Neurospora crassa OR74A: one gene and its partners. The protein of the gene in region 1 purifies or fractionates together with the protein of each later gene. This does not show direct contact. Links are inferred from orthologs where the notes say so. Each region holds a gene or a part of one and is shown in the gene's direction. Other genes may lie near its edges. The genes, in order: NCU00133, NCU07870, NCU09302, NCU06929, ckb-1, NCU04327 and ckb-2.

What was found.
Region 2: the proteins of NCU00133 (region 1) and NCU07870 purify together in Saccharomyces cerevisiae (affinity purification with western blotting; 4 studies listed by BioGRID, with this or other methods). This does not show direct contact. The link is inferred for Neurospora crassa OR74A from reciprocal best matches to the Saccharomyces cerevisiae genes POB3 and POL1.
Region 3: the proteins of NCU00133 (region 1) and NCU09302 purify together in Saccharomyces cerevisiae (affinity purification with mass spectrometry; 3 studies listed by BioGRID). This does not show direct contact. The link is inferred for Neurospora crassa OR74A from reciprocal best matches to the Saccharomyces cerevisiae genes POB3 and CMR1.
Region 4: the proteins of NCU00133 (region 1) and NCU06929 purify together in Saccharomyces cerevisiae (affinity purification with mass spectrometry; 5 studies listed by BioGRID, with this or other methods). This does not show direct contact. The link is inferred for Neurospora crassa OR74A from reciprocal best matches to the Saccharomyces cerevisiae genes POB3 and SPT5.
Region 5: the proteins of NCU00133 (region 1) and ckb-1 purify together in Saccharomyces cerevisiae (affinity purification with mass spectrometry, with the first as the bait; 3 studies listed by BioGRID). This does not show direct contact. The link is inferred for Neurospora crassa OR74A from reciprocal best matches to the Saccharomyces cerevisiae genes POB3 and CKB1.
Region 6: the proteins of NCU00133 (region 1) and NCU04327 purify together in Saccharomyces cerevisiae (affinity purification with mass spectrometry; 3 studies listed by BioGRID, with this or other methods). This does not show direct contact. The link is inferred for Neurospora crassa OR74A from reciprocal best matches to the Saccharomyces cerevisiae genes POB3 and MCM2.
Region 7: the proteins of NCU00133 (region 1) and ckb-2 purify together in Saccharomyces cerevisiae (affinity purification with mass spectrometry, with the first as the bait; 4 studies listed by BioGRID). This does not show direct contact. The link is inferred for Neurospora crassa OR74A from reciprocal best matches to the Saccharomyces cerevisiae genes POB3 and CKB2.

Annotation. Positions count from the first base shown.
Region 1 is NC_026503.1:2,736,417-2,740,373, forward strand, and holds NCU00133 (FACT complex subunit pob-3), read left to right. Parts: upstream 1-1,157; 5' UTR 1,158-1,404; coding exon 1,405-1,415; intron 1,416-1,571; coding exon 1,572-1,794; intron 1,795-1,850; coding exon 1,851-2,344; intron 2,345-2,402; coding exon 2,403-2,774; intron 2,775-2,831; coding exon 2,832-3,429; 3' UTR 3,430-3,693; downstream 3,694-3,957. UniProt on the Saccharomyces cerevisiae protein: Component of the FACT complex, a general chromatin factor that acts to reorganize nucleosomes. The FACT complex is involved in multiple processes that require DNA as a template such as mRNA elongation, DNA replication and DNA repair.
Region 2 is NC_026503.1:1,179,566-1,182,421, reverse strand, and holds the end of NCU07870 (DNA polymerase alpha catalytic subunit), read left to right. Parts: coding exon 1-151; intron 152-200; coding exon 201-1,955; 3' UTR 1,956-2,356; downstream 2,357-2,856. Other genes in the region: NCU07869 (INSIG domain-containing protein), read right to left, coding at 2,849-2,856. UniProt on the Saccharomyces cerevisiae protein: Catalytic component of DNA polymerase alpha, which in complex with DNA primase (DNA polymerase alpha:primase) constitutes a replicative polymerase. POL1 has a role in promoting telomere replication during interaction with CDC13.
Region 3 is NC_026507.1:10,021-14,153, forward strand, and holds NCU09302 (WD repeat-containing protein), read left to right. Parts: upstream 1-1,333; 5' UTR 1,334-1,569; coding exon 1,570-2,107; intron 2,108-2,172; coding exon 2,173-3,200; 3' UTR 3,201-3,850; downstream 3,851-4,133. Other genes in the region: NCU09303 (hypothetical protein), read right to left, coding at 1-965. UniProt on the Saccharomyces cerevisiae protein: DNA-binding protein that binds to both single- and double-stranded DNA. Binds preferentially to UV-damaged DNA in vitro. May be involved in DNA-metabolic processes.
Region 4 is NC_026507.1:793,248-797,545, forward strand, and holds the start of NCU06929 (transcription elongation factor spt-5), read left to right. Parts: upstream 1-1,498; 5' UTR 1,499-1,803; coding exon 1,804-2,169; intron 2,170-2,339; coding exon 2,340-4,298. Other genes in the region: NCU06928 (hypothetical protein), read left to right, coding at 1-1,019. UniProt on the Saccharomyces cerevisiae protein: The SPT4-SPT5 complex mediates both activation and inhibition of transcription elongation, and plays a role in pre-mRNA processing.
Region 5 is NC_026506.1:1,759,333-1,763,255, forward strand, and holds ckb-1 (casein kinase II regulatory subunit), read left to right. Parts: upstream 1-1,377; 5' UTR 1,378-1,810; coding exon 1,811-1,969; intron 1,970-2,038; coding exon 2,039-2,881; 3' UTR 2,882-3,423; downstream 3,424-3,923. UniProt on the Saccharomyces cerevisiae protein: Regulatory subunit of casein kinase II/CK2.
Region 6 is NC_026505.1:5,630,912-5,634,860, reverse strand, and holds the start of NCU04327 (DNA replication licensing factor mcm2), read left to right. Parts: upstream 1-1,149; 5' UTR 1,150-1,301; coding exon 1,302-1,306; intron 1,307-1,389; coding exon 1,390-3,760; intron 3,761-3,902; coding exon 3,903-3,949. Other genes in the region: NCU04328 (metaphase-anaphase transition protein), read right to left, coding at 1-184, 244-298, 353-486. UniProt on the Saccharomyces cerevisiae protein: Acts as a component of the MCM2-7 complex (MCM complex) which is the putative replicative helicase essential for 'once per cell cycle' DNA replication initiation and elongation in eukaryotic cells.
Region 7 is NC_026501.1:3,448,660-3,452,577, forward strand, and holds ckb-2 (casein kinase II subunit beta-2), read left to right. Parts: upstream 1-1,280; 5' UTR 1,281-1,654; coding exon 1,655-1,711; intron 1,712-1,794; coding exon 1,795-2,040; intron 2,041-2,122; coding exon 2,123-2,677; 3' UTR 2,678-3,418; downstream 3,419-3,918. Other genes in the region: NCU11228 (DUF1339 domain-containing protein), read left to right, coding at 1-603; NCU02755 (PAP2 domain-containing protein), read right to left, coding at 3,749-3,918. UniProt on the Saccharomyces cerevisiae protein: Regulatory subunit of casein kinase II/CK2.

The DNA of each region.
Region 1 (3,957 bases):
GTAAGTGTGCAAGTCGGAAGTTCGGTATACTAATAGCTCCAGCTAAGGTTCAATTGAAGCAGGCAAACAAACGGCCCAGGCAACAAAGGAGAGCTTCGTTCTGTTTGAATAAAGAAACCGAGCGAAATATGACGATCAGGGCAGACGAGTGACGGAAGGAAGTCGAGGCGGGGCAGCTTGAGCGGGTGTGCGGGATGCCACCAGTTCAAGCATGTAATACGTCAATCGTGGGGTGGCGTATAAGTGCCCCTCGTGGTCTCCAGGTCAAGGCCGCAGGCAGGAACGTCTACGACGGGAATTGTCACCTTCGGTGAGCGAGTCTTCCGCCCTTGTGAAACAGCCAATGGGCACAACAAGAACGAACTAACTTGAGAGTTATGTTTGTGTTCAAGGGAAGAAAAAGAAAGAGATCAAGAAGTGGTACAAGGCAGAGAACATTACCACTTAAGGTGACTAAGTACCTCTAATACAATCCCATGTCATGAAACAGGCGCGGAAGATATCATATGCAACCACTTAAAGCTCCACGCGCTAGCCCCACATGCTTTTTGGGGGGTTGACGATATTGGGAATCGCGCCCATGTCCATGAACCGAAGCTATGTTGAGTTTGTTTAGTAGATTGAGAGTGGCAACCCAAGTGGCATATTTGGAACCAGTTGAAAGCTTCAAAATGCTCTGACCAAACAAGGAACGCTTGTCGCGAGGGGACACTTTTCCCACGTAACGAAGCGACTCGCTTGGAACGTCCTCTTTCCCTCCCGTGTTCAACGGGCCGAGCACTAGCGGAACGAATACAAGCAAGAAGGAGCGAGATACAAAGAATTCAAATGTGAAAAAACCACCCAACATAATTGTTGATCCGTAACTACAAGAGAATGGAAGGTGTTGTGTTACTGTAGATCGCGACAGATTGGAGGACAAGAGGACGCAGTTTCTTTTAGACATTCAAGATGATACAAACAGTGAATGACTCTCAGAGCGACAAGAAGGCCTGTGTGTCGTTGGCAAAGCTTCCTTGGAAGGTGACAACTGAATAAAGTGGTGGTGTTCTTGCAGGCTTGGGAGAGAAATCAGAAGCTCACAGTTGCCACGCGCTACAACCAAGCTGTTGCCCACTGCGTAGACCCTACACGTACAGTAGTACTGCGACTTGCCACCTGCCACCAGCATGGGTCGTCGCCTAGCCCAGCGGAATGCCACCTGCCAGCCGAATTAACCTTCAATTAACGAACTGGCCTAGTCGCGACACGGTCAACTTTCTCCGAGGCACGCGAACCTTCAGTTGGATTGTTCATCAGTATTTGCTTGCAACACTTTGCAATCACTGCCACAACATCAGACGCCATTTCCAACTTGTCCATCAACCCCAACTCACCATTAAACCAGTTGGATAGAGGGGCAATATGGCTGCCATGTAAGTCGCATACCTTTCTGGATTTCATGCTTTCGCGCGCTCTTGCTCGTCTAACCCTGCGACGACGGATGTGCCCCGCTCCATCTACGCCGTAGGGCACGGCTTTCACCGGCGGAGATCACAGCTCAGTGCCATTTCTAATACCTTCATTTACAGCGAGAGTTTTGACAATATCTACTTGGATCTGTCCAAGGAGAGCGGAAAGTCGAGATTCGCGGAAAATGGCTTGGGATGGAAACCTGCGGGTGGCGGCGAAGCGTTCACTCTCGACTCGAGCAACATCGGCGGTGCTCAATGGAGCAGGGCGGCGAGGGGCTATGAGGTTAAAATCCTATTGCGAAGCTCTGGCGTAGTTCAGCTCGATGGTTTCCACCAAGAAGTACGAAACCTATCCACGCGCCATCGAAGCGAAGGAACGCTGACGTGTTGCCACAGGATTACGAGCGCCTTAGCAAGATCTTCAAGAACTGGTACAGCGTGAACCTCGAGAACAAGGAACACTCTCTGAGAGGATGGAACTGGGGCAAGGCTGAGTTTAGCAAAGCCGAGCTCACTTTCAACGTCCAAAACCGACCGGCCTTTGAGATTCCTTACTCCGAGATTTCCAATACAAATCTTGCCGGAAGGAACGAAATCGCAGTCGAGTTCGCCGGCAACGATGGCGGCAAGTCGAACGGTCACAGCGGAACAGGCGGAAAGGGCAAGAAGGCGTCGGCCGGCAAGGATCAGCTGGTCGAGGTGCGCTTCTACATCCCTGGAACGACAACACGAAAGGAGGCCGAGGGTGGTGAGGCTGGTAGCGACGCCGATGAAGAAGAGAAGAACGCCGTGACTCTGTTCTACGACACCCTTATTGAGAAGGCCGAGATTGGTGAGACGGCGGGTGATACTATCGCTACATTCCTCGATGTGCTACATCTCACGCCCAGGTACGTGGAAACTGCACGCTGGTTGTTGATCCTTTTCCGGTGCTAACTCTCCCGATAGAGGACGTTTCGACATCGACATGTACGATGCCTCCTTCCGTCTCCGTGGCAAAACATACGACTACAAGATCCAATACGATGCTATCAAGAAATTTATGGTGCTTCCCAAGCCGGACGATCTCCATTTCTTGCTTTGCATTGGTCTCGACCCGCCCCTTCGTCAAGGTCAAACACGTTATCCATTTGTGGTGATGCAGTTCAAGGCGGACGAAGAGGTGACTCTTGACCTGAACATCACCGAGGAGGAACTCAACGGAAAATACAAGGACAAGCTTCAGAGCCACTACGAGCAACCACTTCATCAGGTTGTGGCGTACATTTTCAAGGGACTTGCGAACAAGAAAGTCACTACACCAGCCAAGGACTTTACAACGTGAGTTATATCTGTTCATTTCATAGCCAGCAACGGTACTGACCTAGGAACCCGCAGGCACCGTCAGCAGTACGGCATCAAGTGCTCTATCAAAGCCAGTGAAGGATTCCTCTACTGCTTGGAGAAGGCGTTTATGTTTGTCCCCAAGCCGGCCACGTACATCTCATACGAACAGACACAGTCCATCACGTTTTCACGCGTGGGCGGTGCGGTCTCGGCATTGTCGACGTTCGACATTACAGTCCACATGAAAAACGGCGCGGGCTCATCCCAATTCAGCAACATTAACCGTGAAGACTTGAAGGCTCTCGAGGAATTTTTCAAGCTCAAAGGACTGCGTGTCAAGAACGAAATTGATGATGACACCAACCTTATTGCCGCCGCCTTGGGCGATGACGACATGGCTAGCTCGGACGAAGAGGCCGTCGGCCCCAAGGCTGATCGTGGCTCCGCTGACGAGGATGAGGAGAGCGTGGATGAGGACTTCCAGGCTGAGTCCGAAAGCGACGTGGCGGAGGAATACGACAGCAACCATGAGAGTGATGGGTCGGGCAGCGAGGAGAGCGACGTCGACAATCGGGTCGATGATGAGGATGAGGATATGGATGATGACGAGGGAGAGAAGCGCCCCAAGAAGAAGAAGAAGACGGCTTAGGTTTATTTTTCATGTTGGCGCGTCGTTACTTGTTTGATTAAAAAGGCAGATCACAGGCTGGAAGGCAGGCAGGCAGCTGGGTATTTGGGGCGTTCCGGTACTTTCGTGACACGAATATGTGTTAATTCTGTATTTTCTCTACCATATATCGATACGATACTTGGGGCGTCAAAGACGACATTCCCAACGGCAGTGTCAAACTAGTATCTCGATGTTCCCTCAACTTGGGCGCGCAATGGAGCTAATGAACACTGAAGAGCGGCAGGCAGATGGTCAGCTACCTAGTTGATCCGTTATGGTTCTTTTTTTTCCCCTTCGACTACAACGAACATAAGACATCGGCACATCCTTTGAGACTTCGCTTCTTCTTCAGGGCCGCAGGATGGATAGAGGCCGTACTCCAAAAGTACGGCATGGAATGTATCAGCCTGCAGGGCGTGCAGGCGGTTGAGGTGGGTATCGCTCTAGCGGTCAAAAATCTACCTACCTGGTAGGTAGGTACCTACCTCTATGCGTTCCCGCTCTGTC
Region 2 (2,856 bases), about 1.6 Mb from region 1:
GAAGAAGGACAAATACAAGGGTGGTTTGGTTTTCGAGCCAGAAAAGGGTCTTTATGACAAGTTCGTTCTCGTCATGGACTTCAACTCCCTTTACCCTTCCATCATCCAAGAGTACAACATTTGCTTTACCACAGTTGATCGAACATCACTGGTAAGTCAGGGTCCTTCCTCCGTTGACGTCACAAGCTAATGCAAAGTAGTCCGAGGACGATGATGCTGTTCCCGAGGTTCCCAAGGAGCAGGCGCAGGGCATTCTTCCCAAGCTGATTGCCACACTCGTTAGCCGACGTAGGCAGGTCAAGTCTCTGATGAAAGACAAGAATGCCACACCTGAAGAGCTCGCCACCTGGGATATCAAGCAGCTCGCCTTGAAGTTGACTGCCAACTCCATGTACGGCTGTCTTGGTTATACCAAGTCGCGCTTCTACGCCCGTCCTCTTGCCGTGCTCACCACCTATAAGGGTCGTGAGATTCTGCGGAGCACCAAAGAATTGGCGGAGAGCAACTCGCTCCAGGTCATCTACGGTGACACGGATTCCGTCATGATCAACGCGAACAAGGACAACGTTGCTGAAGCCCTGCGTGTCGGCCACGAGTTCAAGAAGGCCGTCAACGAGCGGTACCGCCTCCTTGAGATTGATATCGACAACGTCTTCCGGCGCATCCTCCTCCAAGCCAAGAAGAAGTATGCTGCCATCAACATGGTCGAGGTCAACGGCAAGTGGGTTGAGAAAATGGAGGTCAAAGGTCTCGATATGAAGCGTCGTGAATACTGCGGGCTATCCAAGGAGATCTCCAACCGTATCCTCACCGAGATCCTCTCGGGAGACGATACTGAGGTGTCTGTCCAACGCATCCACGAGTACCTTCGTGACATATCTGCCAAGATGCGCGAGGGTGCCGTCCCTGTGCAAAAGTACATCATCTCGACTCAGCTTGGTAAGGCGCCCAAGGATTATCCCAATGCCGACTCGATGCCGCAGGTCCAAGTCGCCCTTCGCGAGTTGGCCAAGGGCAAGACCATCCGTAAGGGCGACGTCATCTCGTACATCATCACAGGCGACAGCAAGACCACCTCAGAAGCCGTCGCCAAGCGTGCCTACACCCCTCAAGACGTGCTCAAGGCCGAATCTGGCCTGTCTCCGGACGTAGAATGGTACATCGGCAAGCAAATATTCCCTCCAGTCGAGCGTCTCTGCGCCAACATTGTCGGCACGTCGACCTCCCAACTCGCAGAAAACCTCGGTCTCGACGTCCGCCGCTACTCTTCCAACACCAACAACAACTCCTCAGGCCCACAAGACCTCGAAATCCACCCTCTCGAGTCCCAAATCCCCGACTCCCTACGCTTCCAGTCCTGTGCGCGCCTCTCCCTCCGCTGTCGCAAGTGCAAAACCTCGCACCCCTTCGAGGGCCTCGCTTCCCCATCATCCGTCAACAACGTCACGCCCTCCGGCATCCAATGCCCCTCATGCCAATACGTCCTCCCCATGCTCAGCGTCGTCGCCCAAGTTGAAGCCGCCGTCCGCGCCCAAACAGCACGCTACTACGAAGGCTGGCTCGTCTGCGACGACTCCTCCTGCGGCAACCGCACGCGCCAGATCTCCGTTTATGGCACCCGCTGTCTCGGATCCAAGGGTCTGGCGCGCGGCGAGTGTGGCGGCCGGATGCGGTATGAGTACACGGAACGGGACATCTACAACCAGCTGGTGTACTTTGCTAGTCTGTGGGACGTGGATAAGGCGAAGAGTAAGGCCAAGGAGAACAATGATGAAGATGTGGATGCTGCTAAGCTAAGTGCAGAGGAGAAGGAGAGGGTCGCCATCATGGCGGAACATAATCGTGTTAGGTTTGGTACGGTCAAGGGCGTGGTGGAAAAGTATTTGGATAAATGTGGACGGAGATGGGTGGCGATGGATACGCTTTTTGCCAAGTTGGGGTTTGTTCCCCAGTAAGTGGGCATGGACAGGAAAGCTGGATGGATGGGTATGTGTGAAAACGGGTACTAAAGTTGAGCGGATGGTTTCCCTCCAGTGTTCACATTGTCGACATCGGCGTTAAGGATTGGGCTTGTTTCCGAACTACGGGCTTCTTTTCTTGAATGATTATAACTTTTTTTTCGATGCCCTACGTTTGCAACTATTGTCAACCCGTCAACCCCTTTATATATCGTCATGTAACCAGTCTAGGATGGTGTTGGCCCGATCTACAATTTTCTTTGGTATATCTCACTCCCACTCCCAGGGCAGGGATACATCCCCGACCCTCTCGCCTCAACCCTAATCCCCACCCACATCCACAACTACCACATTACAGCCTTATAGTCCATACACCCAAACCAAACATACAATAATAGGCAAGATGGCCGAGCGGTCTAAGGCGCCACGTTAAGGTCAACCCTTAATCCGAGTGAAAATCTCAGTTCCGTGGTCCGAAAGGGCGTGGGTTCGAATCCCACTCTTGTCAGCACATCATGTATACCCCCACCAAGCTCAGGTGGATTTCACTTTTTCAGTATTCTTTTTTTCGCCTTTTTTTCTTATCCTGCCTTTTCCTCTCGGTTCTCGTTTGGGGGTCAATATGATAGAGACATAATATGAATCTAGGCCAGGCTAAGATAAACAAGATGCAAGAAAGATCTCCATATGCTTAATAGCCTTGTAAGACTCCCTTGATATAAACGCCTCCGACGGGACTGCTAAATAAAAGTACAGAGTTGATAGCCGACCATTCTCGATGGATGTGTGTTGAATCATTCCCGCTGCATGAGTAAAGATAAATTGAAATGACTTCCAAGAGACTCATTCCGTTGTTGCCCTTGATGTGATGTGATGTATCAATGACGAAATCACCTAA
Region 3 (4,133 bases), on another chromosome or scaffold:
AGGTAGGCGGGGTAGAGAGGGCCGTAAAGGTGCATGGAGAGTCTCTCCTGATCTGGTTCGAACTCGTAGCCGTACTCGTAGTCTCCATCTTCTTGCACCTCCTTGGTCTTACGTCTTGTCTTCTTCACAGGCGCCTTGGGGACCGCGGACCGGTCGGTAATGCCCAGCTTCTTGACCATAGAGAAGACCTCCTCTTCCAGGATATCCCATAATTGAAAGTCGGAAGTGGCAGCTCTCATCTTCGACTCGACTCGGGTGCGTTCTTCGCGTCTCATAGCTTCCTCGGCAACTTGCTTGCTGAGGGGATCGGCGGGGAGCTGTTCTTGCGTTTGTTCGGCGGTTCGGGCGTTGTCGAGGATCGACGATCTCCCCGTTCCCTTGTCTGCTTCAAGGATACCAAGGGCCATGCGGGCGGCCTGGCGCAGGCTTGGAGGGAAACGCAGGAGGGCGCTGTCACGGTCGACGGCGCGTTCTGTCTGTCCAACGGGCGAAAGGGGATCGAAGGGTCGCTGGACAGGCCGCCATTCCTTGCTGTATGCGGCGGAGGCGTCTTGGAGCAGAATCTTGACGGTGTTGTGGGCGGCTTCGGGGTCGGGGTCTTTGATGCTGATCTCCAACGGGTCGTCTTCCGTAGTCTTGTTTTTCTTGACTATGTCTTGAAAGATGGTGTCGAAAGCATAGCGCTCTGTGGGGGTTAGGGTTGTCTTTTGTCCCTCGCCGAGGTCTTCTGGTTGCCATTTCCGCCTGGGCTTCTCGAATTGTTGACTTGGGAGGTCGAAGGGGATAGGATCTCTGCCGAGCATCGATGGGGCTACTCTTCGGCCACGAGATGGAGGCGAACGAGAATCGAATTTGGATTCGGATCTGTAGTAGGCGCGTAGGGCTGTTGTCCTGAGACTGGTAAGGGACAAGCGCTGAATAGTCCTGGTCTGGTAAAGAAAGGGAAACATGGTTGTCGACGACATGGTGGCGATGGTTCGGTTCCGCCGGGTTTCGGTATAGCGACTATGGCCTCTAATTCTGTGTCCTCTGATATTGTTGCAAACAGGTACCTGTATCGTGTCCAGCACGGTGTGACAGCATGCGATTTGTTGGTGGAAGGATGGGGAGAATGCAGGAAACCGCTCCAAGTCAAAAAGTTCCCAATCCAAAATTTTGGAATCGATCAAAGATTCCTTGCCTGCCGGAACGGATTTTGCCCCGCCAATGTAGGTAGGGAGCTGCTAACAATAACAGCGCAAATTGACACGGTAAACCGTTAGTGCATCGAGCGCTAAAAGACCCTACCGGCCTCAACAGCGAATGGCTATCCCGTGATTTCGTGCGCCGATTCGTTTCTCGTGCATCGACGCGACCCGTCGGGTGGCGCGCCTTTGAGATTTTAGTTCCATTGATTTTCCATATCGATTGCGACCATCTGCTGCATTAACCACACTCGCGTTGCTTCCTGTCCTTCCCCTCCGTCCATTCTCGAACAATCACAGCGTTTGGTGACCATCTCTTGTTTTTGCAGACCCGTTTTTGTCAACTCTCATTGTCTTTACCAAATCGTCCTCCTCGAGTCCCAAGATGCCTCCACGCAAGAAGGAAACCGTCATGAGCGAGTTCGAGCGCAAGCGCCTCGAGAACATTGCCTACAACAATGCCATCCTTAGCGGCATCAGTACCACGGCAGACAAGATTATCCCGAAGCCAGCGCCTCCCAAACCCAAACGCGCCAGCACCCCTCGAGTCAAGCGGGAACCTGTCAAGAAGGAAGCAGCCCGTCCCACGCGCCAGAGCAGTCGCCTCGCCGGTCTCGAAGCGGATTCCGCAGTTCTCAAGCGCAAACTAGATGTCGAAGCTGAGGAGGAAGCGGCAAAGGCCAAGGCCAAGAGGATGCGCGTCAGCGGTGACTTGAACCTGGGCGATATCACGGTCGAAGGTCGCAAATGGGAAAGCAGTGCCGACGGTCTAGCGCTTCTGAAGGGTCTCGGTGTACGAGGGGCGCAACCAGGCGTGAGGACGTTTACAGAAAAGGATGTCAAGCATACCAAGGACAAGGGGTTGAAGGACCTGCGGTTGCGCATGAGCGGACTCAAGTTGTACGAGAAGTGGGCAGTCAATGGTACCTCTAACCCAACAACGGTCCCTACGACGATGGATGTTCCACTAACAAAAGTGTTGTAACAGACATTAAAATCGTACCCCAGCGCATCTACTCCATGTGCTTCCACCCCACGGAAGAAAAGCCTATCATTTTTGCTGGCGATAAAGAAGGCGCCATGGGCGTGTTCGACGCCTCCCAACCCACGCCCAAAATTGAGGACGACGATGAAGATGCCGAATACCCAGACCCCATCATATCCGCCTTCAAAACCCACTCCCGCACTATCTCTTCGTTTCACTTCTCTCCCACCGACGCCAATGCCATCTACTCGGCCTCGTATGACTCTTCGATTCGCAAACTGGACTTGGACAAGGGCATTTCAACCGAAATCTTTGCCCCGTCCTCTTCGTCTGAGGATCTCCCCATCTCCGCCATCGACATCCCGACCACCGACCCAAACATGATCATCTTCTCCACCTTGCACGGCTCGCTAGGTCGACAAGACCAGCGCACCAAACCTTCCTCGGCCGAAATTTGGGGCTTAACTGACCACAAGATTGGAGGTTTCTCCCTGCACCCTCGGCATCCCTACCTTGTCGCGACCGCCTCGCTCGACCGCACTCTCAAGATTTGGGACTTGCGCAAGATCACGGGCAAGGGGGACCTCCGCCACCCTGCCCTTCTAGGGGAACATGAATCCCGTCTTTCCGTTTCGCATGCTTCCTGGTCTTCGTCAGGACACATTGCCACTTCTTCGTACGACGACCGCATCAAAATCTACAGTTTCCCCTCGGCTGGCGAGTGGAAAGCTGGGCACGACATACCGGCAAAGGAAATGCAACCGACGGTTGAGATACCGCATAACAACCAGACAGGAAGATGGGTGACGATTCTGAAGCCGCAGTGGCAAAGAAATCCACAAGATGGGTGGCAGAAGTTTGCCATTGGAAACATGAATCGGTTTGTGGACGTTTATGCAGAGGACGGAGAACAGTTGGCGCAGCTGGGAGGGGACGGGATCACTGCGGTGCCGGCGGTTGCCCACTTTCACCCAACCAAGGACTGGGTGGCCGGCGGGACGGCGAGTGGGAAATTGTGTTTATGGATGTAGTGGTGGCAGTGTTCATGTGTCTGGATAGCTGGGTGTTCCTAGTGGTATTTCTTGATTTTTGCTGTACGGGGTGTATTCTGGGACGATGGAGTTTCTGCGATGATACCATGTTTGGATGACGAGATGTTGGTGGCAATAGCCTCATGACGATGACTGAGTGTTTGGCTTTCGCCTTGCCATGGCATTTATTCCGTCCTTGCGCATACGAGGCCATATAGTCTTGGATTTATTATTTCGTCTCTTATACTCCTTTTTTTTTTTTTTTCCTTTCCGTTCTTTTTTTTCTCCAAGCTGGGTTGCACCGTTCTTACAAAGCCACCAATAGGTACTTTTGTGTCTTGGTGCCACGCGAATGGTGAACATGATTGGTAGCGCAACCACTCGGCCGGTGAGATCTCTGGTGTACCTGAATAGGATGTCTCCAAGTTCTTGTGCTTGATGAAGTTCCGCAGGTATAGGTGGTTATGGAACCTTTCCATGTCTCTTCTCCCAATCAGGTAGCCTAGGGACTTGGGATCACATGTAAATAAGGCATACGTGGCTGAAGTCGTAGCCAAGTTGCCCAACCGTGTTTTGGACCAGGCACTTTGACGTCGCTAGCAAACATACCTGAGAGTAGCGGGTCTCTCCATATAGTGTAGCATCCTGGCAGCCCATAACGTGTGGCATAGCAGGAGTCGAAGATTTGATTTTGGCTGTCAATTGGCCGCGACAAAATAAGCCTCCAATGAAGCCAAAGCTGGGACCGGTATGACGCTCCGGCGGGGAGGGACAACAGGCCGTCTAACGATGATGGTTGCAACCACGACACATGACAACATCAAAACATGCATGGGCCACTCACTTGGGCATATCAGGTTGTTGTCGCAGCACAACTTTCAACAGACTCGCGTCTCACGGCATGGCCAGCCTGTCCCAACATGTTGACCGGAG
Region 4 (4,298 bases), on another chromosome or scaffold:
CGCATTCTAACCTTGTCACTAAAAAGACTCAACAGCAACGACGCCAATCAACGGTTTCGGCAGCGGGATCTTCGAAACAAACCAACGGCGCGAGCAATGGGACTGATGGCGGTACAGGAACGACCTCACAGGCCAACGCTGCTGAGGAGAAGAAGACGACGGAGAAGGCCGAAAAGGCCACAAAGGAGAAAGGAGAGAAAGCCGACAAGTCATCGGCCCAACAGGCGCTTCGTTCAAAGGGCCCCCCGCCGCCGCCCAAACAACCTGATTATTCGGCCATCGTATTCGAGTTTGCGGGAGGAAACGGTGATCGGTACCTCTTTCCGAAGTTCAGCATTCTGGATTATCAGACTATTCCCAGTAGCAGCGCTAGCAGTACCCAAGGACAGCAACAACAACAACAGCAGCAACAGCAGGTGGTGGCGTCATTCCTTATCATCAGGAGGGGAAGCAAAGCAGTATATCCGATGGCGGACCCGGAGCTTGATTACTACCAGCCCATAACTATAAGGTTGTTTACGGCGGCTCCCAGTGGCAAACATGTGCTGGATAATTTGGCAAGAGTAGTGGCGCCGGAGGAAGAGGTCAAGAGGTACATGGACGATATCATGGATACCATGCAACGAAGCGAATACGTTCTACTGGCCATGAGGCTGCCCAGACCCACCGAGACGGCAGAGAACGGCGAAGGAGAAGGAGATAAGGCGCAGGACGGGGCCGGCGCGGCCGGGTCTGGAAAGGGACAACACGCGAAGGAGAAAGACAAGGACAAGGAGGTGGTGATGATTGATGCTCCATCAAGAGCGGAGGAAGCGGCGGCGGCGGAACTGAAAGCGCCAAAGGCGGCAAGGACGGGGGGAGTGTTGTGGACGACGGCAAACAAGCAGATACCCAAGCCGGAGATTAGGGAGCTTCCACCGAGGCGGAATGCTAGAATCATGATGGAGACCGCGGAAGATGAGCAGTATCAGAGCTTCATTCAGACGGTCACCCGGAAGGATAAGGAGGTGGTCAGGTGATTGTTTTTTTCCTGGAGGAGCGCTGTATCATGTAGATAGTTTTGTCTGTCTGTCTCTGCCAGGAGTTGACTTTTACTTGGCCGTGTTTACTAGGTATGAAAGGTTGCCTAGTAATGGTGTTGACAAGGGCAAACGAAAGGGAGGTTATCACGGTGCAGCGCTCTCTTCTACATACTCTATCAGCTGAAAGTACTTGTACTTCAGCCACGTGCGCAAATGAATAGACGATGAGGTATCTCTACCTACCTAGGTACCCGTCCTGGACTGCAAGGTCCTGGTCGAATGTAACCTGAACAAAAGGAACCTCTTGCCGGCCGGAGACCTGACCTTGGCCGCGAATAGCCTAGCGGCTTATTCCAGTGCTTGGCAGCAGCAGCAGCACACTCCCCTGCCGTCCAGTGTCCTCAACCAACCGGGGGTGGAGGTGTGACCGTCCGTGCTTCCAAGTCCACCCACTCACTGTCCAGTTGTGGGCCGTGCAGCTCTCTTTCCGCCTCACGACCCGCGGTGCTGCTGCTGCAAGTCTGCAACTGAACACTCACAGCGAGTCGACGCCTCAAAAGTCGGTCCATTTCCCACCACATCATCCATCGGCTCGAGGCCAGCCAATCTTCCTTTTCTCACCTACAAATATAATCCCACATCTCGCGACCTACGGCCATCTCTCCCTTCCTCTCTCCTTTTCCATCTCTCGCCCACACCTCGACACAACGCGCGACCGCCGGTAGTACGACTGTACGACACCCCTGTCGCTCGCCGCTCTCTTTCAGATAAATTATTCAGAATGGCGTCAAACAGCTGGCAGTTCGCCGGCGCCGACGACGAGTCCGACGATGACAACTTCAACCCCGCCCCCGCCGACATGTCGGACGAGGAGAACAACGACAACGACGAAGAGACCACGCACAACCACCGCCCCGCTGGTAAGACCGTGAGGCAGGCTAGTAGCCCGGTACCAGACGAAGAAGAGGAAGAGGAGGAACATGACGAAGAGGAAGACGCGCGCCCGGCCAAGCGATCGCGTCGAGATCACCACGACGATGACGAGGATGAAGAGCAAGATGAAGAGGAGAACGAGGAGATAGATGAGGAGGAAGAGGAGGACGAAGAGGAAGAGGAAGATGAGGAAGACGAGGATGATGTTCATGGTGTAAGTCCGGATCCCAATAATGTCCCTCCACACTTCAATTCTGCAGCACCATCCCATCCACACTTGCCAGAAAAAAACAACAAAAGACAAGTCCCGGTGCAGATGACCCGCCAAACCTACCCGTGTCGCCACATCGGGGACCTAGCTAACCCGCTGTCTTTTGTCCGCAGGGCAATCGTCGCAAGCGTCGCAACAAGGACCGTAGAGCTGCCTTCTTCGATATCGAAGCCGAAGTTGACGACGAAGACGAGGGAGAAGACGAAGTCGGCGACGGTGAAGAGATAGAGGACTTCATCGACAATGCCCACCCTGACGATATTGCCGACAGCGGCCGCCTTAACGATGACAGAAGACACCGCGAGCTCGACCGCCGCCGAGAGATGGAGGCCAGCCTCGACGCTGAGAAACAGGCAGAGATCCTGCGTGAGCGCTACGGCAAGCGCGCCCCGGCTAGAGGTTACGGAGACATGGCCATTGTGCCCCGTCGCTTGCTTCTTCCCAGTGTCGAGGACCCCAGCATTTGGGCCGTCAGGTGTAAAGAAGGAAAGGAGCGTGAGGTCATCTTCTCGATTATGCGTCGTATCGAAGAGCGAATGGGCACCAAGAACGAGGTCCCCATCACGGCTGCTTTCGAACGTGGTGGTATCAACTCGGTCATGAAGGGATACATCTACGTTGAGGCTCAAAGACAGAACGATATTCTCGTGGCTCTCGATGGCATTCTCAACGTTTATCCCAGGAGCAACATGCACCTCGTCGAGATCAAGGACATGCCCGACCTCCTGCGTGTCATCAAGACGCCTAACCTGGAGCCCGGCGCTTGGGTTCGTCTCAAGAAGCCGGCCAAGCACGCCGGTGATCTTGCTCAGGTTATCGACGTTACAGAAAACGGCCTCGAGGCCAGAGTCCGTTTCATTCCCAGACTCGACTACGGTGTCAGGGATGACCCCGTCTTCCAGGCCGATGGCAAGCGCAAGCGCCCCGGTGTGCCCGGCCCTCGTCCTCCCCAGCGTCTGTTCAGTGAAGCCGAGGCGCGCAAGAGACACCCCCGTTACCTCCAGGGGAACCCGCAGACCAACAGCTGGAACTACAACGGCGATGATTTCGAGAACGGTTTCCAGGTGAAAGACATCAAGATCCAGCAGCTCGAGGTCAAGAATGTCAACCCTACGTTGGAGGAGGTTACCAAGTTCGCCAGTGGAGCCGAGGACGGTACAGAGAACCTCGATCTTAAGGCTCTTGCTGCTACTCTCAAGGATAGCGCTAAGAGTGTTGCGTACGTCCCTGGTGATATTATCGAGGTGTATGAGGGCGAGCAGCAGGGTGTCATCGGCAAGGCCACCAATGTTCAAGGCGACATCGTCACATTGCAGGTTACCGAGGGTGATCTTGCTGGCCGGACCATCGACGTCCCCAACAAGGGTCTGCGCAAGAGGTTCAGGATTGGTGACCACGTCAAGGTCATTGGTGGCAGCCGGTTCCGTGACGAAGTTGGTATGGTTGTCAAGATCGTGGACGACAGAGTCACCCTCCTCACAGACCAGACCAACACGGAGATCACCGTGTTCAGCAAAGACCTCCGTGAGGCATCTGATATTGGTGGCCAAGGCTCTCTTGGACAGTACTCCCTCTTGGATCTTGTGCAGTTGGATGCCACGACTGTCGGCTGCATCGTTAAGGTTGATCGCGAGTCAGTCGTGGTGCTAGACCAGAACGGCGATACCAAACAGGTCCAGCCGTCGCAAATCACCAACAAGCTCCCCAAGAGGAAGTTCGCTGTGGCTGCTGACCGCAACGGCTCCGAAATCAGGCTGGACGACGTGGTCCGTGAATATGGTGGCCAGCAACGCCAGGGCAAGATCATTCACATTCATCGCTCTTACATTTTCCTTCACACCACGACCACCAACGAGAATGCTGGTGTTTTCGTCACTCGGGCTAACAGCGTCACCACGGTCGCGGCCAAGGGTGGTCGCAACACTGCTACTGCGGGCCCAGATCTCAGTGCGATGAACCCAGCCCTGAAGCGGAACCCCACTGCTAGCGGCAAGCAAATGCCAGCTCCGCGAACCTTCGGACCTGATCGGGCCATTAACCAAACCGTGGTTATTAGACGCGGTGGTTACAAG
Region 5 (3,923 bases), on another chromosome or scaffold:
AAACCTTATAGATTATATACGTAGAGTATCGGAATATAACTTTATAAATCCGGAGGTTTATAAACTATATAATTTTAAAGGTAATTAAGGATTGTCCGCCTAACCCATTAACCCCATATTTATCAACCGTAACCAGTATAATAACTACTATATATTCTCTTATAATAAACCGCCCTACCGGGTAATATAGTAAAATACTTAGAGAAGGGGGAGGGCGCTAATATTTATATTTCGCTACTATAGTAAAAGTAAAGGAGGAGGAGGTATTTAACGAGCGGTAACGTAGGAGTTAATAGGAGAGGGCCTTACGCGGGTAGATTTAGAAGTATTTATTTAGAACTTTATAGAAAGTATTATATTATAGCAAATATTAATATTAAAAATACCGCTAGCTCCCTTACCTTCGCTTTTTTACCCCCCAACTCCCTTATAGAGAACTCTAACACCCTCTCTATCTCCTTATCCCTAAGTTTAATAATAGCCGCTAATTTAGTAATAGCCATCTTATAACTATATACTAACTCCTACCGGCCCTAATTAATTCAATTATAAATTATTAGCTTCTATTAAATAGCTGCCTTAATACTAGGATAGTCCGCCACCTTCTAACTAATAATAAGGGGAGGGATAGGTTATACTAGCAATATAGTATAAGCGAATTCCAGCCCCTATAGCACTACCTCTAATATTTCTAGTATATTTATAGGGATATAATATAGGGGTTCTCCAATACTCTAGGTAGTACTTTGGATAGTATTTATACAACGGGTATTAAAATTAGGGTAGGCACGTACACTCTAACTCTAGGCAATAAGTATAGTATTAGAACTAGCAAAGAGGACAGTAGTATTACTAGCAACTATAGTATTAACCGCCTTAGTAGTAGATTATTAGGATAATTAACTAGATTAACGATTTTTGAATACCCTTATATAAAAAAGAATAACGTAAAAGACGTAGATCTAGTAATGCGCGGGCATCGGTTACGTGGCCTCTATTGTATGTGTGTACTGGCTGGGCGGCTGGGCGGCTGGCTGGGCTTACTCAGCGAAAGTATGTGGGGGGGACTAGCCAGGGACCAGTTTGGGTCTAGCCAGCTACCTTTTGCGTTCATCAACCATCACCAAATGGACCCTTTACTTATCTTGGTTCCACCTGATAAAGTAGACGGTTGGGTTCCGACGCGCTGCCGCACGCGCATGTGGCAGGGCTCAGCAGGGTTATGTGAGAAGGCGCAAAAATCAGGCATCATACTACCGTGGGGCTGGGCGCGGGGCTGCTCCCTGCGGGAAGGGTTGAACGAGGAGGATTGGGAAGGGCCCAGACTGAAAAGACGGGGCGCGCCGCACAGACCAGACACCCACGAGTGGGCTGTAGCACGAAATGAGGGCGCGGGCTTCTTCTCGAGCAACCCCAAAAGGCAAACAGACTGAGCCATCGAGTCGACGGCCTCCGTTAGCGCAAACTCCAAAAACAGCACAGGAAGGGAACCACCAACCACCTCCTTCGCTGCAACACCACGTAGACAATCATTGAAGCGCCTAGCTATTCTGTCTGTCCTTTCGTCCATCTATTTGCGCCATCTCATGCGCTCGGTCATGTCTACGCAATAAACAATTGAACCCTTCCATCCAGCATCGCAGATGAGCGTCGACCCCAAGGGACACTAGCTATACCCAGTCGTCGTCTTGCGCCTTTCGATCGCACTCATCAGATAACGTCCGATAGCGGTACCAACAGCCTCATCGAACGCCTACTCCGTCGCCAAACACTCGAATCGTTTCGCGTCGCTTCCATATCCAATTCCACCATGTCGAGCTCGTCGGGCGTTCCAGAGTCATGGATCGCATCTTTCTGCTCCCTCCTGGGACACGAGTATTTTGCCGAAGTGTCAGAAGAATTCATCGAAGATGACTTCAACCTTACTGGCCTGCAGACCCAGGTCGCCATGTACAAGGAGGCTCTCGAGGTATGCTTGTTCTGGAACCTTTTTGTCCGTTACGTCAGCAGCTAATCATTGTGGTTTTAACCTGACTAGATGATCCTTGATGTCGAGCCCGAGGACGATGATGACGAGGAGGAGGAGGACGAGGAGGACGAGGAAGACATGTCCGGTGGCGACGGCATCAACAAGCCCCACGGCGAAAGGAGACATCACAGCCGCATCGCGAGCGATCTTTCTGTGATCGAGTCCTCGGCCGAGATGCTGTACGGTCTGATCCATCAGCGCTTCATCTGCTCGCGGGCGGGTATCCAGCAAATGTCGGAAAAATACGAGCTCGGTCACTTCGGCATCTGCCCACGCACAAACTGCAACCAGACCCGCACGCTGCCCGTCGGCCTCTCGGACACGCCCGGCGAAGACACGGTTAAGCTGTTCTGCCCGTCTTGCTTGGACGTCTACGTACCGCCAAACAGCCGCTTCCAGACGGTGGACGGCGCCTTCTTCGGCCGCACCTTTGGCGCGCTCTTCCTCATGACCTTCCCCGAATACGACTTGACCAAGACCGGCGCTGAGAGCGTTAGCAATCTCACACGATCCGGCTCTGACGACACCACCGTCATTAACGGCATGTACGCGCGCAACATAGCGCCGGGGCTGGGCAGGGGCAAGATTTACCAGCCCAAGATCTACGGGTTCAAGGTGTCAGAAATCGCGCGTTCCGGGCCACGCATGCAGTGGTTGCGCAGCAAGCCTGACGACTTGAGCGTGCTGGACGAGGCTCGTCGCTATGCGGAACAACAAGGGTCGGATGACGAGGACGAGAGCATGGGTGTGAGCAGCAGGACAGCTTCGAGGCGGCGGGGGCCTCCTAGGAGGCAAAAGCAGAACGGGAGTCCGATGGCGATCGAACAGAATGGGGCTGAGTCGGAGCTTTGAGGTCGAAGTTGTAGGCTGGAACTTGGGTTTAAATGGATATTGAAAGGGGAGGATCAGGTTTTGTAGGTAAGGAGTAAGGAATTGTGTGCGCAAGCATCTGGACAACGGACTGTTGATCACTTCTTTTTTACATCTTCCTCTAAACCTGGCATTGATTTGTATCACACGCACAAATATCCTTTGGGCTTTCTTTCTGATTCTCTACGTCATGGCGGGGGAATGGACGGACGGGTTCAGGAATCGGTTACAGTAGCTTGCAAGAGCGCTTTTTGGTTGGGTTGGGGTTCTTCTTTTTTCTTTTCCTTTTTCTATATCAAGGTTGATTTTCTCTTACACAGCGAACTCGGACGTAAATTCGCATTCCAATGATGATTGCATGCCGGTTATAGACGATGAGAGGAGGACGCAATATTGTTCGTTCCTCTTGTGGTTTACCCGTCAGTTCGCAACGCAGTTTTAAATTAAATCATCTTGGTTTTTCCACTTCACTACCACCCCCTACGCGGAGGAACCCCTTCTGACCATGGTAGCTACATTCCAAGATAGGTATTTTTGTTGCTGGCAAATATGGGTCCGTCATAAGCCGGTCATACGGGAAGACTCTGTCAGTAACATGACCATCGGATTACTCCATCCTTTTATCTATGACCTTTTTTGTTTCTTCCTTTTTTTCATTTTCTTTTTCTCTTCCAACTCCCCCCCCCCCCCCCCCCCCCCCGACCTACAATTCTTGTCTTTCTTCAACAGTCTTGTTGACTATTCTCTCGATGCCATACTGTCATGCTGACTCACGCAGATCTTAGCCTGTCTTCTTCCTATACTGCGGCTACCGAATTTTGGGATGTGAATTTACAAAATACCTACCAATCAGGAAAATGGGTTCACATCTCACAAGCGTATGTTACCAATCTCATCAGCCTGATGCAAAGAACGACCGACGACGAATATACAAGCTATATTAGTATTGACAGAAGAAGACAAAGTAAACAGATTGTGATTGTTGTTGAAGACAGAGATGGATATGCCAATTTATTCGAGGAGT
Region 6 (3,949 bases), on another chromosome or scaffold:
TGAAGTTGCGCTTGGCAAAGATCTCGACGAGAGTGTGCTCGCCGTGACACTGGACGGAGCAGGAGTAGCAGATGCCGGCCGCATTGTAGGGCGCTTTCGGGTCGGCGGGTGGTGGGTTGCAGGTCAGGCAGGAGAAGACGGCCTGGCGGAGGGGGCCGAGGGGCTTGGTGCAGGTTTCGATGCTCTGGTGGGAGGTTAGGATTGACTTTAAGGAAAAGGGCAGAGAAGACAAGGGACACGCACGTATGGAAGAGCTTCGCGAGCGTCGGCCTCTAGTTGCATTTGGTCGCGGATGAAGCTAGACCATGGTTAGTACTTTGTCATGTGGTAAGTCCAATATATGACAACATACTCTGCGGCAGTCTGAGAGTTTTCTGACTTGGCGGAGAAGCTTTCAGTACGAGTCTTGGTGAGCGCGACTGGTGCTGGAGCTCCATGGCCATCTGGAGTGGCCTCGGCGGGCTGTTGCGCCGGTTGAGGGTCCATGGGTGATGGATGCTTTCACGGTCAATCTTGGATGGTCGGTGGTCTATCAAAATTGTTGATAAGACAAATGCCTCGAGATGGTGCTGGATCACGAAAGATGGGTTCTGTCCGGAAGTCTTTAAAACAAAAAACAATTGCTGGGGCGCGAAGAGGAGGAGGAGGAGGGGGAGGAGGAGGAGGAGGGCGCGTTGGTGGAAGCGTGGGGAGAAGGACCGAGCTTGCAATGTACCCTTGGTTTGGTGTAAGGCACTGTGGTCTATATGTCCAAGCAGCACAGATTGGAATTGGGTTCAAGGAAACCTATTTGAACGTGATCCGATCAATAACATGGCCCTGTAGTATGTAGCACCTTATAGCTCATGCTTTGCTCGTCATTGTTCACTGGACTTTGAGCTTTTGTGACTTTTTGGGAATCTCGACGAGTCGAATTGGCGTGTAAGAGCAGCACCAAGTGGGTCCGGTACGCATTGCCAAGCCCATTAAACCTCAGCAACCACTTAACGCGACCGCCCTTATCCGGCTTAGCGCATCACGTCTGGCGCGTCTTCCCTGGACTGCAACGCGAGAAAAAAGCAGGGACAAGGTCGCCGCAACGAAGGGCAACATTCATTCAGTGGTTCCTCGACGCTGTTTGTCTCCATTCCCCTCCCCCCCCCCCCCCCCTTCTCTCTCTCTGTCTCACCCCGCAACATATCCTCTTTCTGGCTGGCATTCATTCTCCATAGTAACAACTAGGCCAGCATCCTCCACTCTCTTGTTTCTTCCATCTGTAGCTGGCTACAGTCCTCTGAGATACCCTCAGCCAAGTCGCAATCATGAGGTATGTGTGCCTCTTGCTCTTTCGTCTGTCACGGCTTCTCTTCGCAAGTAAACAGTGAATTAACGGAAACTCTCCAATACCAGTTCCCCGCTTCGCGACAACCCGTCCTCTGCCAACCGTGGCGCCGTTCCCAGGGCCACTCGCAAGCGTGCGCGTAACGATCACGATGGTGCTTCCTCGCTTCCCCGCGCTTCGAGCCCTGTCATGCCCTCTTCTCCTCCCGCCTTCCCAGTTGCCCATGGCGCAGATGAGGACGACGACATCGAGGAAGACGTCGCCGCTGAAATCGAAGACGACATTGACGACCTCGACGAGTTGGCCGAAGACGATGTAGATTTGTTCCGCGAAGGCTTCGAGCGCGATTATAGGGAACGAGACGAAAACGACGCCTACGAAGGAATTGACATCGACGATGACGAGTATGAGGCCCTCGACCCCGCCGCAAGGCGCCGTCTTGAAGCCAAGTTGGCCCAGAGAGACCGTCAAGTGAGGATGGGAATGGGCACCACGTATCTTCCTGGTGATGACGACGATGGTGATATCGACCTTACCAACCTGGAACGCCGCCGAAGAATCCGCTACAATGAAGACCCCGATGTCGATATGGATGGCGACATTATGGACTCGGAACTTCCCCTCGAGGCCCTGATGGATGTCAAGGCTGCCACTTTGAGCGAATGGATCTCAGTCCCGGCTGTACAAAAGACCATCCGCAGAGAGTTCAAGGCTTTCCTCACAGAATACACCGACGAGAGCGGTTCGTCCGTCTACGGCAACCGCATCCGTACTCTTGGTGAGATCAACGCCGAGTCTCTCGAGGTCTCCTACGAGCACCTCGCTACAGCCAAGGCCATTCTCGCATACTTCCTCGCCAATGCGCCAACCGAGATGCTCAAGCTCTTCGACGAGGTTGCCATGGAAGTCGTCCTTCTCCATTACCCCGACTACGAGCGCATTCACGCCGAGATCCACGTCCGTATCTTCGACCTTCCTATCCATTATACCCTCCGTCAGCTCCGCCAGTCGCACCTCAACTGTCTTGTGCGCGTGAGCGGTGTCGTCACCCGCCGCACCGGTGTCTTCCCCCAGCTCAAGTATGTCAAGTTCGACTGCACCAAGTGCGGCGTCACTCTCGGTCCCTTCCAGCAAGAGTCCAACGTCGAAGTCAAGATCTCTTACTGCCAGTCCTGCCAGTCTCGTGGCCCCTTCACCCTTAACTCCGAGAAGACCGTCTACCGCAACTACCAAAAGCTCACCCTCCAAGAATCCCCCGGCACCGTTCCCGCCGGTCGTCTGCCCCGTCACCGCGAGGTCATTCTCCTCTGGGACCTGATCGACAAGGCCAAGCCGGGCGAGGAGATCGAAGTAACGGGCATCTACCGCAACAACTACGACGCGCAGCTCAACAACCGCAACGGCTTCCCCGTCTTCGCCACCATCCTCGAAGCCAACAACATTGTCAAATCCCACGACCAGCTCGCCGGCTTCCGCATGACCGAGGAAGACGAGCACGAGATTCGCCGTCTCTCGCGCGACCCGCACATTGTCGACAAGATCATCAACTCCGTCGCCCCTTCCATCTACGGACACACCGACATCAAGACCGCCGTCGCCCTCTCCCTCTTCGGCGGCGTCGCCAAGCAAGTCGGCGCCCACCACATCCGCGGTGACATCAACGTGCTGCTCCTCGGCGACCCCGGTACCGCCAAATCACAAGTACTCAAGTACGCCGAAAAGACGGCCCACCGCGCCGTCTTCGCCACCGGCCAGGGTGCTTCCGCCGTCGGTCTGACGGCTTCCGTCCGGCGCGACCCGCTCACGTCCGAATGGACTCTCGAGGGCGGCGCCCTCGTCCTCGCCGACAAGGGCACCTGCCTGATCGACGAGTTCGACAAGATGAACGACCAGGACCGCACGTCCATCCACGAAGCCATGGAGCAGCAGACCATCTCTATCTCCAAAGCCGGTATCGTCACGACCCTGCAAGCCCGGTGCGGAATCATCGCCGCTGCTAACCCTATTGGCGGGCGGTACAACTCTACCATTCCCTTTTCTGCCAACGTGGAGCTTACCGAGCCGATTCTGTCTCGTTTCGACATCCTTTGCGTCGTGCGCGACACAGTCGAGCCTGAAGAAGATGAGCGGCTGGCGCGCTTCATTGTCGGGTCGCATTCGAGGAGTCATCCGTTGATGAACAACAACACGCAGGACGCTAGCGGTGGTGACTCCATGGAGGTTGAACACGATACCCAAGCTGCTGCGGAAACCCAACAAACTGGTGAACACGGCCGTAAAAAAGAGGGCGAAATCCCACAAGAGCTGTTGAGGAAGTATATCCTTTATGCCCGAGAGCGGTGCCAGCCAAAGTTGTATCACATGGATGAGGATAAGGTGGCGAGGCTGTTTGCGGATATGAGAAGGGAGAGTTTGGCGACGGGGGCTTATCCTATTACTGTAAGTTCTTCCCTCTTTCCTTTTTCCTTTTTTTTTTTTTTTTTTTTTTTTTTTTTTTTTTTTTTTTTTTTTTTTTTCTTTCTTCCTCCGTCACAAAATACAACACAATAACAACTGCTAACCTCACCCACCACCACCTTAGGTCCGTCACTTGGAAGCCATCATCCGCATCTCCGAAGCCTTCTGCCG
Region 7 (3,918 bases), on another chromosome or scaffold:
CCGCCTGCTCCAGAACATGCCATCCTCCCACGCGTGCTGTCACTTCTCTCATCGTTCAAGCAGTACTTGGACATTGTGGTGCAGTGTACCCGCAAGACGGAAGTGCGTTCCTGGCGTACTCTGTTCGCCTATCTCCCTCCACCTCAGGAGCTGTTTGAGGAGAGCTTGCAGCGTGGGAGCCTCAAGACTGCTGGCGGCTACTTACTCATCCTCCATACCTTTGACGAACTCGCAACAGCAAGCGAGCAGAGTGTGCGTCTCTTAAGCAGAGCAATGCGCGAGGGCGACTGGGAGCTATGCAAAGAGCTGGCGCGGTTTTTAGCAGCGCTCGATGAAACGGGGGACACGCTGCGTGAAGCAATGGAGCTGGCCAAGATGCGAGTGAAGCAGGAAAGTGAGCTGGAGGATGGCCATGGCAGCGTAGGCAGCGGGCTGGGCACAATGCTTGGAGTTCCTCAGGGTGGTGGTGCTAACGGTGCTTCCAGCACTACCAGCTCATTGATTTCCAATACCAAGGGGATCATAGGTAGTGACTGGGATGCTGACAGGCGCACAATCAGCGACGCCGGCAGCGTTGTCAGTGCTAATCGGTACGAAGGTTAATGAAGTGGATGGAAATTGGAAAGCGGATAGTTGGTTGTAGGATTGTTGGATATCCATAGCCGTGGCGCTCACGATCCTACCAGAACGTCACTTTATGATGAAGCGGGGGTCTTGAGCTCTAGACACATGCTGTAGGGCAACACAGATGTTATAGAAGCCGGGATGTTTCAAGATAATCTAGAACAGCTATAATCACAGGCGACTGGCGTTCTTATCCCCCATTTTTATTTATTTATATATATTTTTTTTGGGTTTTCCGTCTCCAACAATATACCTGCTCAAAAATAAGGCACAAACTGTAGCACTGAACGTCATGACGCCCAATAGAATACCTACCTTAATGACAGAGTACATGCTTCCATCCCCAGTACCTGTGAACGTACAATTAAAGTCATACGCTGGGCCGTTGGGCTGACTGAAGGCCGACGAAAGGTACCCGCCCGCTACCTACCTACCTACCTAGGTAGGTACTTAGGTAGTCAGATGGTCGATTTTGCAGACCTGATAACCTACCTCTGTGTAGTGCCCTGGGTAGGTCGGGACTGCTGATAAACAGACTGCGATGAGCCAGGGGCGGGGGGGCACTGCAACCTGCCCTGCGGGGACCACTGCAACGGCGATGAACCCCCCACCAAAAAAAAAAGTCCCTTGTCATGGACTGTCAGCCTGTTTGGCTCCCGGTCTAGAGTCCAGACCCCCTCGCCTGCCCTGCCGTTGCCCTGCACCAGGGACGGCTTTGAACCCTCTTCCACCTGAACTCCCATCAAACCGTCGCAAAAAAGCATCACAATCCTCTCCAACGTCTTGTCGTCATTGTGCCTTGTGCCAGCTCAATCTCATCCGACTCGGACCTCCCACTCCCCATCTACGGCCCGGCGCGCATTAGTTCGGCCCAACAAAAGGTTCAAACGCCGTACTTGACCCCGGCACCCGGGATTTTGGCCTCGTTGATGCGAAGCGCCAGCCGACGGTCGTTCGCGCCCACTTTCCTCCCACCACCACCTTCCTCCCTTCCTTTTATGCGCCGAGTATAGACGTGGTGTCGCCGGCCATGGATGACTTTGTGAGCGAGTCTGAGAGCGACTATGCCAGCTATTGGCGCGACTGGGTATGCTTCTCTTGCAATTGTTGTTATTGTTTACTACAGTAAAGGTTCCCCAATCATGCTGACATTTGCGCGTCCGCCTGCAGTTTATTTCCTCGCGAGGCAATGAGTACTTTTGCGAAATTGACGAGGACTACATCACTGATAGGTTCAATCTAACTGGTCTCAACACTGAGGTCCAGTACTACCAATATGCTCTCGATCTCATCACCGATGTCTTCGACCTCGACTGCGATGACGACATGCGGGAAACAATAGAGAAGTCTGCTAGGCACCTGTACGGTCTTGTCCATGCTCGATACATTGTCACAACGCGGGGTCTTCAAAAAATGGTCAGTAATCAACTCTCAGCATTCCATCTTCATCCAGCGTCTCCTCGTCTTCATCCGTGACTAACGCACTTCCCACCAACAGTTCGAAAAGTACAAAAAAGCCGACTTTGGCAAGTGCCCGCGCGTCATGTGTTCCTCGCACCCTCTGCTGCCCATGGGTCTCTCGGACGTGCCCAACTCCAAGCCGGTGAAGCTGTACTGCGCGCGTTGCGAGGATATTTACAACCCCAAGTCGTCGCGCCACGCCGCCATTGACGGCGCCTACTTCGGCACCTCGTTCCACAACATCTTCTTTCAGGTATACCCGACCCTGGTGCCCGCCAAGAGCGTCGAGCGCTACATTCCGCGCTGCTACGGCTTCAAGGTGCACGCCGCTGCCGCTCTGGTGCGCTGGCAGAACAGCCAGCGGGACGAGATGCGTAGGCGGCTGAGGAAGCTCGAGGTCGAGAGCGGGTTCAAGGACGCCGAGGACGAGGCTGAGCTTGACGATGATGACGAGGAGGAGGAGGAGGAAGAGGAGGAAGAGGAGGAGCTGGCTGCTATGGATGAGGCTGAAGGTGCCCAACAGCAACATGCGGCGGCGGCGGCAGGTACAGCAACGGGAGGCGTTGCTGCCGGCGGTGAAGGCGTTCATTAGAAAGGGCCTGCTGCTACTGGTGGAGAAGCGGATGAAGAGTATTGGAATTCAGAAGCCACGATTGGAGCCGCCGACGAAGCTGACGATGAAGCTGAGCTACCAAACGAGCCAAACGAGCCGAACCATTGGTTGACACCTCTCATGTCTGCTGCTGCAAGGCTGCGACGGAGTCTCAGGCTAGGGGAGGACTATGAAGAGCAGGCTGAAGTGGAGTTCGATGAGTGGATGGAACAGGCGAGGTACGGGATCTTTTGACTTTTGAGGTGGTGGAATGCATATACCATACAGTATCGAGTAACAAAGTATGAGTACAGGTGCCTCTCTTCTCTTTGTTTTTTTGTTTCTATTCCCGCACCCCATAAGCCTCTACACAGCGGACGTCGGGATCGATGCGAATAAGGGAGAGAGAGCCATTGATAGAGTGTTTATGTTCTTTGGTCTAGCTATACGTCTTTTCGGTTCTTACCAGACGATTTCTTCTCACCTTGCCGGCTTTGCTTCTCTTCGTCTGTGCTGAACTGCACCCTTCTCTGTTTCAAGCCTCCTAAAAACCAATCGTCAAATCGACGGGAAGTTGAACTTAACGCTTGAAAGGCAGTCTCTTGGAGCGTGAAAATTCAAAACGACCAGACCATATATCCAAGCGTCTACTGAGGAAAGATTCACAAGCGGTGTCATGCGGCAACACGAACCTTTCAAATACATGAACTGTTACCACAGCATAAACACGTTGATTAATGCCGAAGACCAGTGTGCTCAAACTTCCCTTGAAGAGTTACCAGGTAGATATGTGTACATATGGATAGGTTCCTCATTTCCCTATCTCAAAACGCCTCCTGAACATAAGAGAGACTGTACCAAAACCCATGTTGGTGACATAAAACCATTTGTTGTTCCTCATATTTCCTCGTTTAGAGAAATAATCGCTTTTGTCATCAAGCCCACCCATCCGGGCCAAGTCCCTACTTCCGGAAAATGCACCTTGACTCTTCTGATCCGACAATGCGTCGAAATTTGCCTTTCATATCTGATCGTCATTTACCCGTCTCTGTAAGCTGTGTCAACCTGTTCTCATTGATCAACGTCAAGCGACGGTGGTTTCCTCCCCGTGATGATCCCACCGGGCTGGTCCGGTCCCACATTGCTTTCCAAACCGGTGCCATTGGCCCGTACCACGGGGTGCCCATAGCTGCTGCCGTGATCTAAAGAATCCGGACTCAGCGCCTCCTCCTCGTCTCCCG